Macaca fascicularis: one gene and its partner. The protein of the gene in region 1 binds, or shares a complex with, the protein of each later gene. Links are inferred from orthologs where the notes say so. Each region holds a gene or a part of one and is shown on either strand. Other genes may lie near its edges.

Region 1 (6,775 bases):
ACTCAGCAACCCCAGCTAACCTGACCTCCGGAAGGCCCAGAGATCCTAGTGTTTTTGCCACTGTATTTCCAGACCTTACCTTGAGATGAGTGAAGGCCTGGGCAGATCTGGTGTAGTCCCAGTTGTTGTCCTGAAGGCACCTGGAGTGGAAGAACAGGCAGCTCTGTAAGAACTCTGACCCCTAAATGCCAGTTGGAAGTCCATTCCATAAAAGCACCCAGGTTTGCCAACAAATATGTACATTCTTATACATCCTTGCACTATTTATACAAATGAGAAATTAGTAAAAGTCCAAATGTTCTACCAATGGCTTATCAAAGATAAGGAATATTAAATAGCTGTCAAGAAGTCCAAGATAGTTTTTACAGTGGTAGGGAAAGATGTTCATGGTGTAAGTAAAGAAACTAAGTTGCAGAACAGTATATGAAAAGGAACTTCCATTTGCCTTTAACGTTTTTTTTTTTTTTTGAGATGGAGTCTCACTGCCGCCCAGGCTGGAGTGCAATGGTGCAATCTTGGCTCACTGCAACTTCTGCCTCCCAGGTTCAAGTCATTCTCCTGCCTCAGTCTCCCGAGTAGCTGGGATTACAGGCGCCGCCACCATGTCCAGCTAATTTTTGTATTTTTAGTAGAGACAGATTTCACTATGTTAGCCAGGCTGATCTCGAACTCCTGACCCCGTGATCCGCCCACCTCGGCCTCCCAAAGTGCTAGGATTACAGGCGTGAGCCACCGCCCCGGCAACCTTTAAAAATTTTTATGCTAGGCCGGGCGCGGTGGCTCACGCCTGTAATCCCACCACTTTGGGAGGCCGAGGCGGGCGGATCACAAGGTCAGGAGATCGAGACCACGGTGAAACCCCATCTCTACTAAAAATACAAAAAATTAGCCGGGCGCGGTTGTGGGCGCCTGTAGTCCCAGCTACTCAGGAGGCTGAGGCAGGAGAATGGCGGGAACCCGGGAGGTGGAGCTTGCAGTGAGCCAACATCGCGCCACTGCCCTCCAGCCAGGGGGACAGAGTGAGACTCCATCTCAAAAAAAAAAAAAAAAAAAAAAAAAAAAAAAAAAAAATTATGCTAATTTATGCACAGGCAAATTTTTGGTAGACTATCAGGGTTTTTTGGTTTTTTGTTTTTAAGACGGAGTCTTGCTCTGTCACCAGGCTGCAGTGCAGTGGCACGATCTCGGCTCACTGCAACCTCCGCCTCCTGGGTTCAAGCAATTCTCCTGCCTCAGCCTCCCGAGTAGTTGGGACTACAGGCGTGGACCACCAAGCCCCACTAATTTTTGTATTTTTAGTAGAGATGAGGTTTCACCATGTTGTCCAGGATGGTCTTGATCTCTTGACCTCATGATATGCATGCCTCAGCCTCCCAAAGTGCTGGGATTACAAATGTGAGCCACCTTGCCTGGCCAACTATTAGGTTTTTTTAAGCAGCCAAAAGCTTTGCCTTTTAAAATTTCAGGAACCCAGGCACGGTAACTCACACCTATAACCCCAGCACTTTGGGAGGCCTAGGTGGGCAACATGGTGAAACCCCATCTCTACAAAGAAATACAAAAAAATGAGTCAGGTGCTGTGGCCTATGCCTGTAATCCCAGCTACTCAGGTGCCTGAGGTGGGAGAATCACCTGAGCCCTAGCAGTTGAGGCTGCAGTGAGCTGTGATCACACCACTGTACTCCAGCCTGGGCATCAGAGTAAGACCCTGTCTCAAAACAACCAAATAAAAATCTGGCTGGGCGCAGTGCCTCACGCCTGTAATCCCAGCACTTTGGGAGGCCACAGTGGGCAGATCACGAGGTTAGGAGTTCAAGACCAGCCTGGCCAACATAGTGAAACCCTGTCTCTACCAAAAAAAAAAAAAATACAAAAAATTAGCCAGGCATGGTGGCATGTGCCTGTAATCCCAGCTACTCGGGAGGCTGAGGCAGGAGAATTGCTTGAGCCTGGGAGGCAGAGGTTGCAATGAGCCAAGATCGCACCACTGCACTCCAGCCTGGGCAACAGAGCAGGACTCCATCTCAAAAAGAAAAAAAAAAGGTGGCACATGCCTATAGGCCCAGCTACTCTGGAGGCTGAGGTGGGAGGATAGCTTGTGCTCAGCAGTTAGAGGCTACATTGAGTTATGATCACCACTACACTCCAGCCTGGATGACAGAGCAAGAACTTGTCTCTATAAAAAAAAAACCAAAAACACACACAAAAAAACCATCAGGAGCTCTCATTATTTACTACTAGCCCTCCTTCAGTTCACCCCGTCCTACACATGCCCAGTACTCACTTCTGGGACCACTCGAGGTTCATGCCAGACTGGGTAGAGAATGCCTGCAACATTTCCTGCTGCTCTGGAGAGAGGGTGGGCACTGGGCTGGAGGAAGGCGTGGGCGCAGGCATAGCGAAGGCTCTTTGGATCTCTTCAGAACTGGCATTCCGCACAAATAGCTCGTCGTTTACAATGCATAGCCTTGAGGACAAAGAGCACTTAAAAAGCTAGACAGATAACGTCATCCTCCCATCATTCCTATTCTCTGATTCTTTCAATATCCACAAGGTCCCCCCCTCCCCCCTTAGCTATTGTTACCTTTTATCATTTATCCCCTCCCATGGAATCAATGTTTGGAAGGATTATCTACCAAACACACTAGAGTTCTCCCGACCCATGGACAGTTCTTAGCTCTTTTATTCATCCTCACGACAAACTTAGGCAGTGAATATTGTTAAATGAATTTTCAGATGAGGCAGCAGCCTACTTGCTGGAAGTGGTGGAGCCAGGATGAAAACCCAGACGGCACAATTCCAGAGCCAAGCTATTAACTAACTGGCTCTTAACTACTATGTGAGCTTTCCCTGATTTCCTGTTGCCTTTCTGAAATCACCCCAAAGACTGACTCTACCTTCCAATTACCACACTGTTGGCCATGATTAGGACTGGTATCCAATGTGAAAAGCAGAATACTTACCCTGAATTGCTAGCAGGAACAGCAATGAACGTCCGGGTGAAGGCTCGCAAAGAATCCCGGGACTTTCCGTCCACTGCAATGAGAACAGCAACGACACCTTAGGGTCACTAGTGCTTTATGTTTACAAACAGCTTCTTGAATCATGGTCTTCTTTGATACAAAGAATCCTAGCGGGTCAGAGAGGGATGATTAAGTATATAAGGGTATAAGGGAAGCAGAGGTGGGGTGAAAGGTCAGGTCAGAAAGGACAATAGTAATAACTACGGCCGGGCGTGGTGTCTCATGGTTATAATCCCAGCACTTTGGGAGACCAAGGCAGGTGGATCCCGTCCAACATGGCGAAACCCCGTCTGTACTAAAAATACAAAAATTAGCTGGGCGTGGTGGTGCGCGCCTATAGGCCCAGCTACTTGGGAGGCTGAGGCAGGAGAACCAGTTGAACCCAGGAGGCGGAGGTCGCAGTGAGCCAAGACTGCGCCACTGCGCTCCAGCCTGGTGACAGAGTGTGACTCTGTCTCAAAAAAAAGTAATTACTACTAATCCACTGATAGCATCTGTGTGCCAGGCCCCAGGCCAAGCACTTTGTAAGTCACTTCAGTTACTTTCTATAGCACCACTATGAGATGGCTATTACTTAACCCCAACTTACAAATAAAGAATCTGTCTTAGAGGTAATGTTACTTGTCCGCAGCCCCACACAACCAAAACTGGGATGGAAACTAAGAACTGCCTGACTCCAAAGTCCTCCTAATCCCCAGGCTTTTCCCATATCCAGAAAGGACAGGTGGAGAGGCAGGCCAAGCCAAGACGGCTTGGGTTCAGAATGGGAGAAGGAGCTCAAAAAGAAAATGGGAGAGAAAGTAGCTGGGAGGCTAAGAGTGCTGAGGAAAATTCCAGCTGGGGGTGGGACCATGCTACAAACTCAGGACTCCAGAGATTCTTACCTTCCTTGAAGACTCCATTGACAGAAAAACACAGCAGTGTACTCTGAAAGAGAAGCAGCATCGGGTACAATGTACACTTCTCAGAGCCTGAGTGCCCCCCCTTGTCTATTAAATGCCACCCCCACCCCAATTTTAGGCTTCTGTCAGGGCACCAACAGGAGCTTACTGTCTGGGCGCTTATGTCTACCACGAAGGAATTGACGTCATGCTGGGTTTTGGGCAACTCGTTGAGGAAGGCAACAACGTTGAGACGCGTGTGCTTCAGCAGCCGGAACCGCAAGGCTGTGGGTGGAGGAGAAAGCTCAGCGGTGCTGCCACATACTCCTGAGTTCTATGACTGATTCCTTCCCATGCCCTTTTCCCATCGTATTTTGTTCATATCACACACTTACTAGGGTCTTTAAGCTTCTTCACATTTCTGCTATCCTTGAAATACTCGGCCAAGCTGCTTCTGGGGGAGTAAGAGGAATGGACGTGGTGTTCAGAGCAGTGCTGCCAGCAGGTGCTGCCTTGTATCTGCTGGGAAACCCAGTGGTCCTGGGGAGATTCTGGGATGTGATACTCACCGGGCAGGGTTCTGAGGAATGAAAGGAATGCTCAGGGAACAGCAGGCCCCATCATGGTAGGCATCCAGGAGCCCTTGCCGGTCTCCAGAGTCATAAATTGCATAGTACCTATGGGAAAATCAAAAGAGAAAGTATGAACTATGTGGTCTAGAGCCATAAAAGGACCCAGTAGCTCCCAAGAGTGAGTTGTGGCCGGGCATGGAGGCTCATGTCTGTAATCCCAGCACTTTGGGAGGCTGAGGCAGATGAACAGCTTTTGCCCAGGAGTTCAAGACCAGCCTGAGCAACATGGCAAAACCCTGTCTCTACTAAAAATACAAACAAAATGGCTGGGCGCGGTGGCTCATGACTCTAATCCCAACACTTTGGGAGGATAAGGCAGGCAGATCATGAGGTCAGGAGTTGGAGACTAGCCTGGCCAACACAGTGAAACCCCGTCTCTATGAAAAATACAAAAATTAGCCAGGTGTGGTGGCACACGCCTGTAGTCCCATCTACTGGGGAGGCTGAGGCAGGAGAATCACTTGAACCCTGGGAGGCAGAGGTTGCAGTGAGCCAAGATCACATCATTGCACTCCAGCCTGGGTGACAGAGTGAGACACTGTCCAAAAAACAAACAAACAAAAAAAAAACCCAAAAGAGTGAGGCTGAGGTGTGCCTGGGTCTGCCCACCTTTCCCTGCCAACCCCGGGGTGGGGAGAGGGGGCCCTGGGATACTTACTGTTGTAGGAAGTGCAGGACCAGACTCTTCAAGTTTTCTGTTCCAAAATAGCTTCCCTGAAATCAAACAAGATATTAGGAACATGGAAGCAGTATTCTCTCCACACATAAGTTCTTACTCAGTCCATGCTTCCTACCTTGCAGGGCGGTAACGTCGTGGGGGCTTCAACATCAAAGGCAATTGGCGGGGGTAGCTCATGGCCATCCTGTGGAAAGGAAATAAAAGTTGACAGTGTAGACTGAGCACAGTGGCTCACACCTGTGATCCCAGAACTTTGGGAGGCCGAGGCAGGCAGATGGCTTGAGCCCAGGAGTTTTAGACCAGCCTGGACAACATGGCAAAACCCATCTCTACCAAAAAAAAATACAAAAATCAGCTGGGCGTGGTGGTGTGTGCCTGTAGTCCCAGCTATTTGGGAGGCTGAAGTGGGAGGATCACTTGAACCTGGCAGGCGAAGGTTGCAGTAAGCTACGATTGTGCCACTGCACTCCAGCCTGGATGACAGAGCGAGACCCTGTCTCAAAAACAAAACAAAAGTTGACAGTTTAAACCAGAGAGAAAAAGGCTGGATGCATAAGTAGACTAAAGAACTAACAGAGAAGGATCAGAAGTCACGTATAAAAGCATCATGAAAAGTATCCAGGAATCCAGGCTGGGCACAGTGGCTCATGCCTGTAATCCCAGCACACTGGGAGGCCAAGGTGGATGGATTAGTTGAGGTCAGGAGTTCAAGACCATCCTGGCCAACATGGTGAAACCCCCGTCTCTACTAAAAATACACAAAGAAATTAGCTGGGCGTTGTGGCACATGCATGTAATCCCAGCTACTTGGGAGGCTGAGGCAGGAAAATCGCTTGAACCCAGGAGGCGGAGGTTGCAGTGAGTCTAGATTGCACCGCACTCTGGATAACAGAGCAAGACTCCATAAACGGCCTGGCAAGGTGGCTCACGCCTATAATCCCAGCACTTTGGGAGGCCAAGGTGGATGGATCACCTGAGGTGAGGAGTTTGAGGCCAGCCTGGCCAACATGGTGAAACCCTGTCTCTACTAAAAATACAAAAATTAGCCAGGCGTGGTAGCACATGCCTGTAATCCCAGCTACTCGGGCTCAGTAAACTGTGGCAGGAGAATCGCTTGAACCTGGGAGGCGGAGGTTGCGGTGAGCTGAGATCACGCCGTTGCACTCCAACCTGGGCGATAAGAGTGAAACTCCGCCTCAAAAAAAAAAAAATAATAAAAAGAAAAAGAAAACTATCCAGGAATCCTTGTGAGTGGGAGACACTGTGCTTGTTAGAATGAAAAAATTATGGACTTACCAGGCGTAATAACTTGGGAAATCGTTCGCGAATGGCGCTGTCAAGAACGGGACAGAAGTAAGTGATGCTTCAGAGCCACCGTGCCTCCTGGGCTGCTCTAGGAGCAAATATACCAAACCCGAGGGACAGCCCATCCCATCCTGCTCATCCCTCCACTCCCTCCCAGCCTGTGCTCAGGGAAAAATGGCCCCACTCCCCACCTGACCCGGGGCACCCAGACATGGACTGCCTTGAAGGCTGTCTCTTTTCTCTCTGCCTGACCCT
Region 2 (7,468 bases), on another chromosome or scaffold:
CACTGCACTCCAATCTGGGTGACAGAGCAAGACCCTGTCTCAAAAACAAACAAACAAACAAAAAACAAAAAAAAAAACCCCTATCCACCACCACACACACAGACTCAAGCATGGTTGGGTCTGCAGTATGGCCTTGGCACAGGTAATTTTCAGTGTCCCAAGGGATTCTAGTGTGCATGGGGTTGTGAATCACAGTTCCAGGTGGGTCAACTGTGTGCATACCGGTGCCTGGGGTAGGTACTAAGCCCTGATCCTCACCCCTGTGCGGGTGCTTCCTATTATGCTTTCTGCCTTTAGCCTTCCTCCTCCCTCAAAACCTGGTCAAACACATCAGACGGGGGGAAAGAAGCAACATGTATATTATTAAATTATTTGTCAGAATTTCCAGAATCAGAGTCTCTACTGGGCAAGTAGAAAAATAGAAAAGTTTACTACTTTGAAAAGGAAACTATCACAAACAAGTATATATTCAGGAAAGGGACTCCTAGAACTTGAGCAACAAAAAAAGAGTTCAACCTCAGCACAGTGGAGTCTGCAGTGTCTCCGCAACAACAGAAATGAACTTGTGTTCCTCATATCCTTGAGAGTTGAGGTTTGCATTTCTCTACAGAGCTAGGGCTGAATGAAGCAGAGACCTCTGCCACCCCCACTAGCTGGCCCAATCCTGGAAGCGGAAGCAGTCACTTGCGATCTTCCACACTGTGTTGCTGGGTGAGGCCTGGGCGGTCAGGATGAAGTTCTGGTTGAAGTCCCGTTGTTTGTTCCCCTCAAACTTCACTGATCCACAGATCACAACAAGGACTGTGGTCTGGCTCGGTGTGGCTTCATCATGTACAGGCTGGCAGTCTACCACACTGATTTGGAACTCGCTGGAAGGCAACATTTCAAAAAACTCACTCAAGGATTCTTGTCCTGAAACAGCATTGCCATTCCAGACCAGGGTGGCTGTGCCCATGTACAGGCGGGAGAGCAAACGCCGCCGCTTATCCATGGTGGTGTAGTAGACGTTGACAAACTCCTCAGCAGCTCTGCAGGCCTGATCCACGTAGGTCTTGAAATCCACAGATGCCATTTCTGGTTCTATGGAAGAAGGGCTCCACCAGGGTATTTCCTCTGCCTTGGGGAATCAGGGGCTGCAGGGAAGTAAGGTTGAAGAGAACCCATGTGAATGCCAAAGTTCATTCTGCCCTGACAATGGAACATTCCTCCTTTTCTACTACTGGCAAAATAGTTACAGACTGCAGAACAATGACTGTAGGCTCAAATAGTACCCAACACCTAAATGTCTAATTTTACCAAGCCTCAGTTTGCTCATTGTTAAGATGGGATTACCACTGTGGCAAACTGAGACAGTATACATTGTGTTTAGTTAAAAACATTTAGTTATAGTCAGCACTCCATATCTGAGGGTTTTGCATCCACAGATTCAAGCAACCTCAGGGCGAAACCTGCAAATATATTGGGCTGACTGTGCTATGCCATTTTGTTTTTGTTTTTGAGACTGAGTCTCACTCTGTCACCCAGGCTGGAGTGCAGTGGCATGATCTCGGCTCACTGCAATCCCCCACCTCCGAGGTTCAAGGGATTCTCTTGCCTCAGCCTCCCAAGTAGCTGGGACTACAGGTGCCCACCGCCACGCTTGGCTAATTTTTGTATTTTTAGTAAAGACAGGGTTTCGCTATGTTGGCCAGTCTGGTCTCAAATTCCTGACCTCAGGTGATCTGCCCGCCTCAGCCTCCCAAAGTGCTGGGATTACAGTCATGAGCCACCGTGCCTGGCCTTAACGCCATTTTATATCAAGAACTTGGAGCATCAGCAGATTTGGTCTGTTGCAGGGGTAGGGGGACTGCTGGAATCAATTCCCAGAGGATGAGGAGGGCTGACTGGACCATTAATTTTTTAAATCACACTTTATAAAATAGAGTACATTTGACTATGGAAGGCCACTCTTTCCTGAATGCTTGCAACAGACATGACTGCCCCTTGGTAAAGACAGTGGACCATTTAGAAGGGAAGAGTGGTCACTGGCTCAATAAAGGCCAACCAAACCAACGAAATGCTCGTCAGCTGCTGAGTCTGGGAAAGTCTATCATGGAGCTCACTCAAGAGGAACCAGGAGGGCAGAGAAGGCAGGTTTCTTAAGAGGGTAGAAACACAAATGACATGAGGACAGAACCAAAATGGCAGCCATAATCCCCATGGTAAACTGGAAGCAGCAAATCTCTTGGGTGAGTGGGGATTAGAAGGGAGGACACCCAGCTTACATAGGTACTAATATCCACCACATCAGTCCTGTGGAGCCACAGTGCCTCCACAGAAAGACATGTTAAATTTCAAAGTTCTTGGGTGTGTGGGCACAGAATGTGTACTATAGCTGAAATGTCACACTGTCCCCCCAATAAAAAAGTAAAAAGCATAAAAAAAAATTGACATTTACTTTTTTCAGGGTACAGGTACAACTGTTACGTTATTTTCTCCATAATTAAAATATTTCACTTAAAATAGAAGACATTACTAAAATACTGGATTACTAAAATAGAGGACATTACTAAAATAGTTTATACTTACAAACTTAAATAGTGATTTTTTTTTTTTTCATTTCAAAAAAAGACCTTTTTTTTAAATGATTAGCTTATGAAAGCGATAAAACATTCCACATAGGGCTGGAAAGAGCCAGGTTCTTTTAACGGCTGCAAAGGTGGTGCATTGCCTCTGGTAAAGGGCTGGCTGGGAGGGAAGCTGTCCTAAAAATGAGCAGTTAAGAGCCAATTTCAGACCTGGGTCTTTCCACGCCCTCCACAGACCTCAAAGTGAAGCCTCAACTGTACTCTGAACTAAGTACAGCGGTCCTTCGGTATCTGTGAGGAACTGTATTCAGGACCCCCGAGGATACCAACACCTGCTGATGCTGAAGTCCCTGATAGAACGGTGTACTGTTTGATACAACGTATGCGCAGCATCCTCCTATGTACCTTAATCACCTGTAGGTAACTTATAACACCTAATACAATGTAGAAGGGATGTAAATAGTTGTTATACTGTATAGTTTAGGAAATAATGACAAGAAAAAAAAGCCTCTACATGTTCAGTACAAAGGCATTTTTCTTTTTCTGAAGAGTATTTTTGATTTGAGGTTGGTTGAATCCACCCCACGCGGAACCCACGAAGAAGCAGCGCTGTGTTTGCTAAGAGCTTCACATATATTACCTCATTTAAATGTCACCACAAATGAATGAAAAAGGTATTACTATAACAATTTTACAAATGAGAAAAGGGAAACCTAGGGCTGGATCAAGGTAATGACGGTTAAGAGCATTCCTGATCTATCATTTACAAGACTAGACTGAGGGCTGAAATTTTGTCAAGACGATGCTGTCCTTTTACTCGCGTAAGCAAGTCTCCATGAGGACAACTCCAGGACTGCCGGAGTGGGAATTTTCTCCCAGGGACCCCATTTCTCTTTGGCTGGAATTCCCGATCTCCACCTCACTCCTCTTCCCTCCATGGCACCAGTCCCCCCATCATCTCAGAAATGCCCCTCTTCCCCGCCCCTGGCTGTCCTTCCAAACACAATCTAACAATTGGCCACGCCCCCACACTCCATAGAAGGACCATCTCCACTTTTGGTTCTCAGTTACCTATGGGGCTGTCAGCCCCGCTGCGTCAAATCAGAAAAAGAACCAGACCTTGAGGACTGGAGTAAGAGGCTGTGAAGATCGCCGCCTCCTCCCACGGCCCGCACCGTCGAGTGTCCAGAGCTGGACGGGAGAAGCTACCACAGTGGCATTTCCTGCGAGTCGCCTTTAATTCAAACCTAGACAGACGCACGCCCTGCCCTGCCCTCCTCAGACCCGAGAGCTGCTCTGCGAGGGGACGCGCCTCTCCTCATTGAAGAGAATTCGCTGCCACGCGTTTTGCACAGTAGAGAGGCAACTCTACCACGTGGACAAAGGTACAGCCGTGTCTTATTCCCGACAATGGAGGAGGGCGTGGGGTATGCACGAGAGGCTGTCTCCGGGGTCAGACCGCCGGGGGGACTGCAACCTACCTGCGCGGCGACGTCCAGGGTCAGCGCGGGCCGCTGCGCCCACGGTCGGGATGCCCCCCGCGCGGGCCGCAGCTCCACCGAGGGGCCGGCCGCGGAGGTCACAGGGTGGGCCCACCGAGGCCTCGGGTAGGGGCACGGGAAGAGCCGCCTTTCTTCCCTCCTCTTCCTTCTTGGAGGCTTACTCTGGGTCACCGGGGCCCCACAGCCTGGGGACTTTCCGGCGCAGTTCCGCGGCTTCCCGCGCGCTGCTAGCCGGACTCCGCGCAGACGCGAGCGCTCCGGCCCCGCCCCCTCTCGCATTCCCGTGACGGGCAGCGAGGTTAGCCAGTGGGACTGCGAGCCGGAAGGCTATCTCCGCCCGTGTGTGGCTTATAAGAGGTGGTAGCTTCCGGGAGTGTCACCTTCCCAGAAACCCCGGCAAATCCGCCGTCGAGTTTTTATTGGTCCAACAGGGTCACAGACCCCGGCCCGTCTGGTTAGGTGGGATCCCTGATTGGGCCAAACCTCTCAGGTCCCGCCCCTAGATCCTCGCTGTTCTTTCCGCTGCGAGGAGGCCGCTTGGCTGGAGAGGGAGGGGACGTTGTGTGGGGTTGGGTGAAGTGCTTTCACCTAGTCCCGCATGCCCTTGTATTGGAGTGATTTCAGTTAAAAGGCTCGTGAAACGTCACTACTTGATGCAGTCACGGCCAGCAGCAGCTGCCTGACCCAGCCGAGGCCTTCCGTATGGCAACATGTGAGGCGCCGCGGTGCTTGAGGCCACAGCGAGGGCAAGGCCGGCCGCGCCCTGTGGCATGCGCGTGGCGGAGTGCCTGAGCCGATCGCGCTCCTTAGGAGCTTAAGCCACTTAGAGGCGATGTCCTGGTGGACACAGAGAAAGCCAGTTTTAGTCACATGGGAAATGTAGCTAAGAGTGGGAGGAGACTGGGGCGAGGGTAGGACGTGGGTGAGGCGGGGGCTTGACGGCGGCTTCCCACTGCCCTGAGGCCTGAGGTGTCCCGGGAAACGCGGGCCCGTCAGGAGTTGGGATTCTGTTATTCCGCGTCCCTAGCTAAGTTTCAGCTGTTCTGGAATGAGGACTGGATTTTTACTGAACTTTACCAACAGGCTCAACAGGATATAACCATTCAGTGTGGAGGTTTGAGAAACTGTAGCTTGTAAATTAAAAGAAAAACCTCATTTCTTTAGACAACATTTTCAGCTCCATCTGCTGGTCTGAGGCTGAAAAATTAATTGCAAAGCCAGGAGAGAACTGGGGCTAGATGAAGTGAAGTAGTTTAACCTGTGCTTTCTTGGCGTCCCATCGGCTCCCTTTGCTTGCATTCCTAAGAGAATCTTGGTCTCAGATTTCAGGACACATTGAAAACAGTTGGGCTGTTTAGTATAGGCCACCCCTCCCCCCCCCCGCTCCCTCCCCCCCACCCCACGCACACACTTCAGTTAAGTAGGTGGAGAGTTTGGATTATTAAAAGGACAAGTTGGAGGCTGAGCAGAGAGGGTGAAGGAGCATTTGCGGTGCTTTATGAACTGAAATGACTTTATGAACCCCAAGGCAGTGATACTTGGATTGATCTAAATCGGCATGGATGGAATGGAAGTGGGAATGAGAGTTGATCTACTGCACGCTCAGTAGTTTGGATGTTGTGCTGCTTTTGTTTCATATATAATAAGTCCCTTTCATTTCTTTCACATAACTTATTGGGGGAGGTACCATTATTTCTGATTTCATAGACAAAGAGGCTGACAAAGAACCATCCTGGTGTCACAGGGTCAATTCATACCTAGAAAAGCTGGTTAGAAGAACATTAGGACGTTAGAAGAACGTTAATGAAGCTCCAAGGCCTTTTAAAAATGCGAGACTTTAGCCTTGAGAGGCAGCTGTTCTGCCTTGTAGGTTTGTGGGGTCTGCCTTTTAGGTTAGGGTCCTTTTAGGTTTGTGTCTCCAGCATATAGAGTTGTGCCTGACCCATAGCAAGGGCTCAATAAATACTGTCTGAATGAACAGACAAGCCTGGGTTCAAATCATTGCTCCTCAACTGCATGGTTGTGATGATCTGTCCTCAACACACTCCCTGCTCTCTTTGGAAGCAACCCTGGCTTTTATTCCCCCTATGATCCTGGAGTTTGGGGACGTCAGAGACATCCCTGGTTCCAAAGGGCATACAACTGGCACTGTATGCGTTGAGCACAGCTGAGGGTGGTGGGAGGCCCAATTAGGGCCATTGAGCCTGGAGGTGTTTGCTGAGGGATTCTGGGAAAGGATATTTTTCTCCCTTCCCTTCTGGACCCATGGTGTGTAGATAGCACTGCTGCAGCCATCTTGCTGCCCTGAGTGGTAGACCCTTGATGATGAGGCAGACAGGAAAGCTGGGAAGGAATCAGGCTCTTGATGACTATGTTGGGAGTCAAATCATCCCTCAAGTTTGGACTTTTTAGTTTCAAGAGCCAGGAAATCCCTTTTATCTTTTATACTGTTTAAAATTGGGCATAAACATAAAGTTATTTACAACTTGACTAGTGTGGCTTAAGCATTAGCAGGGTGGCTGTGGCAAGTGAGTTACCTCTTTGGGGCTCAGCTGCCTCCTCTGTAGAATAGGGGCAATGGTCAAATCCATCTCCTTGGGCTGACGTGAGGAGCGAAGGAAACAATGCAACGCTAAGTGCTTCATATGGGGCAGAGCACGAAGTAGCATCCAGAAAGCATTAGGAAAGCAGAATCATGCTTTGACATTTTGCATCTACAGCAGCTTCCTTATCTGCCAACAATCCCTCCAATGACTGGCTTTTAAACTTGGAAGAAGTGTATTGACAAATTGGTGGGATTTGTCACCAAATTGCACGGGCACCTTCTGAAGACGAGCCCAGTGGTTTAAGCAGCCAAGGAGCCAGTGGTCCCATGTGCAGCATGAAGTCCGTCTGGGGAGGACGGGCACATCTGGTCACACAGGCAGAGTCCTTGGCAGCTCTGACGCCCAGGCTTGACTTAAGGATATTTAAGTCTGTAAACACAGGATTGATCTTTTCCCTCATTGTCAATGTTGTTCTCTGGTGCAGGATCTTAACAGCATTTGTTTGCCATGAGAGGCTGTGTGACTTGGAGCCAGTCGACCTACAGTGACAGCAAAGCAGTTGTGACTCTCATGCACTGACACCAAAAACACTTTTTTTTCCCGTCTCTCGGCCTTAGCAGGATCATCTGAGCCACTGCCAGTTCAGAGTGAGCTGGGCTGCTTTTCCAGGAGGACAGTTGGGGACCTGACTTTTGAGGAGATTCTGAGGTTTACCGAAGGAGCAAACCTTACGGGGTCAGACAGTGTCTTGTGAAATCTGAGCTCTGCCTTCTCTGTCCCTCAGTTATTGCCTCTGTAAAATGGGGGTGTGGACACTGTAGACATTAAATAGCAGTGTATCAAGGAGGCACCA

Evidence for each region. Proteins that work in one complex are often made in the same cells at the same time.
Region 2: the proteins of NXF1 (region 1) and NXT1 are in contact, whole or in part, in a crystal structure (PDB 4WYK), measured with the Homo sapiens proteins. The link is inferred for Macaca fascicularis from reciprocal best matches to the Homo sapiens genes NXF1 and NXT1. Residues at the interface, in NP_006353.2 of Homo sapiens: Ala366, Pro367, Thr368, Thr369, Leu370, Pro371, Pro372, Cys373, Lys374, Gly375, Tyr377, His411, Gly413, Cys415, Cys416, Ser417, Leu418, Ser419, Ile420, Pro421, Phe422, Arg440, Asn441, Val442, Lys443, Lys444, Lys446, Pro448, Thr449, Arg451; in NP_037380.1 of Homo sapiens: Phe6, Lys7, Val10, Asp11, Cys14, Glu18, Thr44, Val46, Trp47, Asn48, Gly49, Asn50, Ala51, Phe61, Met64, Leu65, Pro66, Ile72, Ser73, Val74, Val75, Asp76, Cys77, Gln78, Pro79, Val80, His81, Glu83, Ala84, Thr85.

The regions. Positions count from the first base shown.
Region 1 is NC_088388.1:11,253,996-11,260,770, reverse strand, and holds part of NXF1 (nuclear RNA export factor 1), read right to left. Parts: intron 6,549-6,775; coding exon 6,512-6,548; intron 5,400-6,511; coding exon 5,331-5,399; intron 5,251-5,330; coding exon 5,195-5,250; intron 4,582-5,194; coding exon 4,474-4,581; intron 4,359-4,473; coding exon 4,300-4,358; intron 4,190-4,299; coding exon 4,074-4,189; intron 3,951-4,073; coding exon 3,908-3,950; intron 3,037-3,907; coding exon 2,964-3,036; intron 2,468-2,963; coding exon 2,285-2,467; intron 141-2,284; coding exon 80-140; intron 1-79.
Region 2 is NC_088384.1:63,953,645-63,961,112, forward strand, and holds NXT1 (NTF2-related export protein 1), read right to left. Parts: upstream 4,310-7,468; 5' UTR 4,049-4,309; intron 1,134-4,048; 5' UTR 1,073-1,133; coding exon 650-1,072; 3' UTR 342-649; downstream 1-341.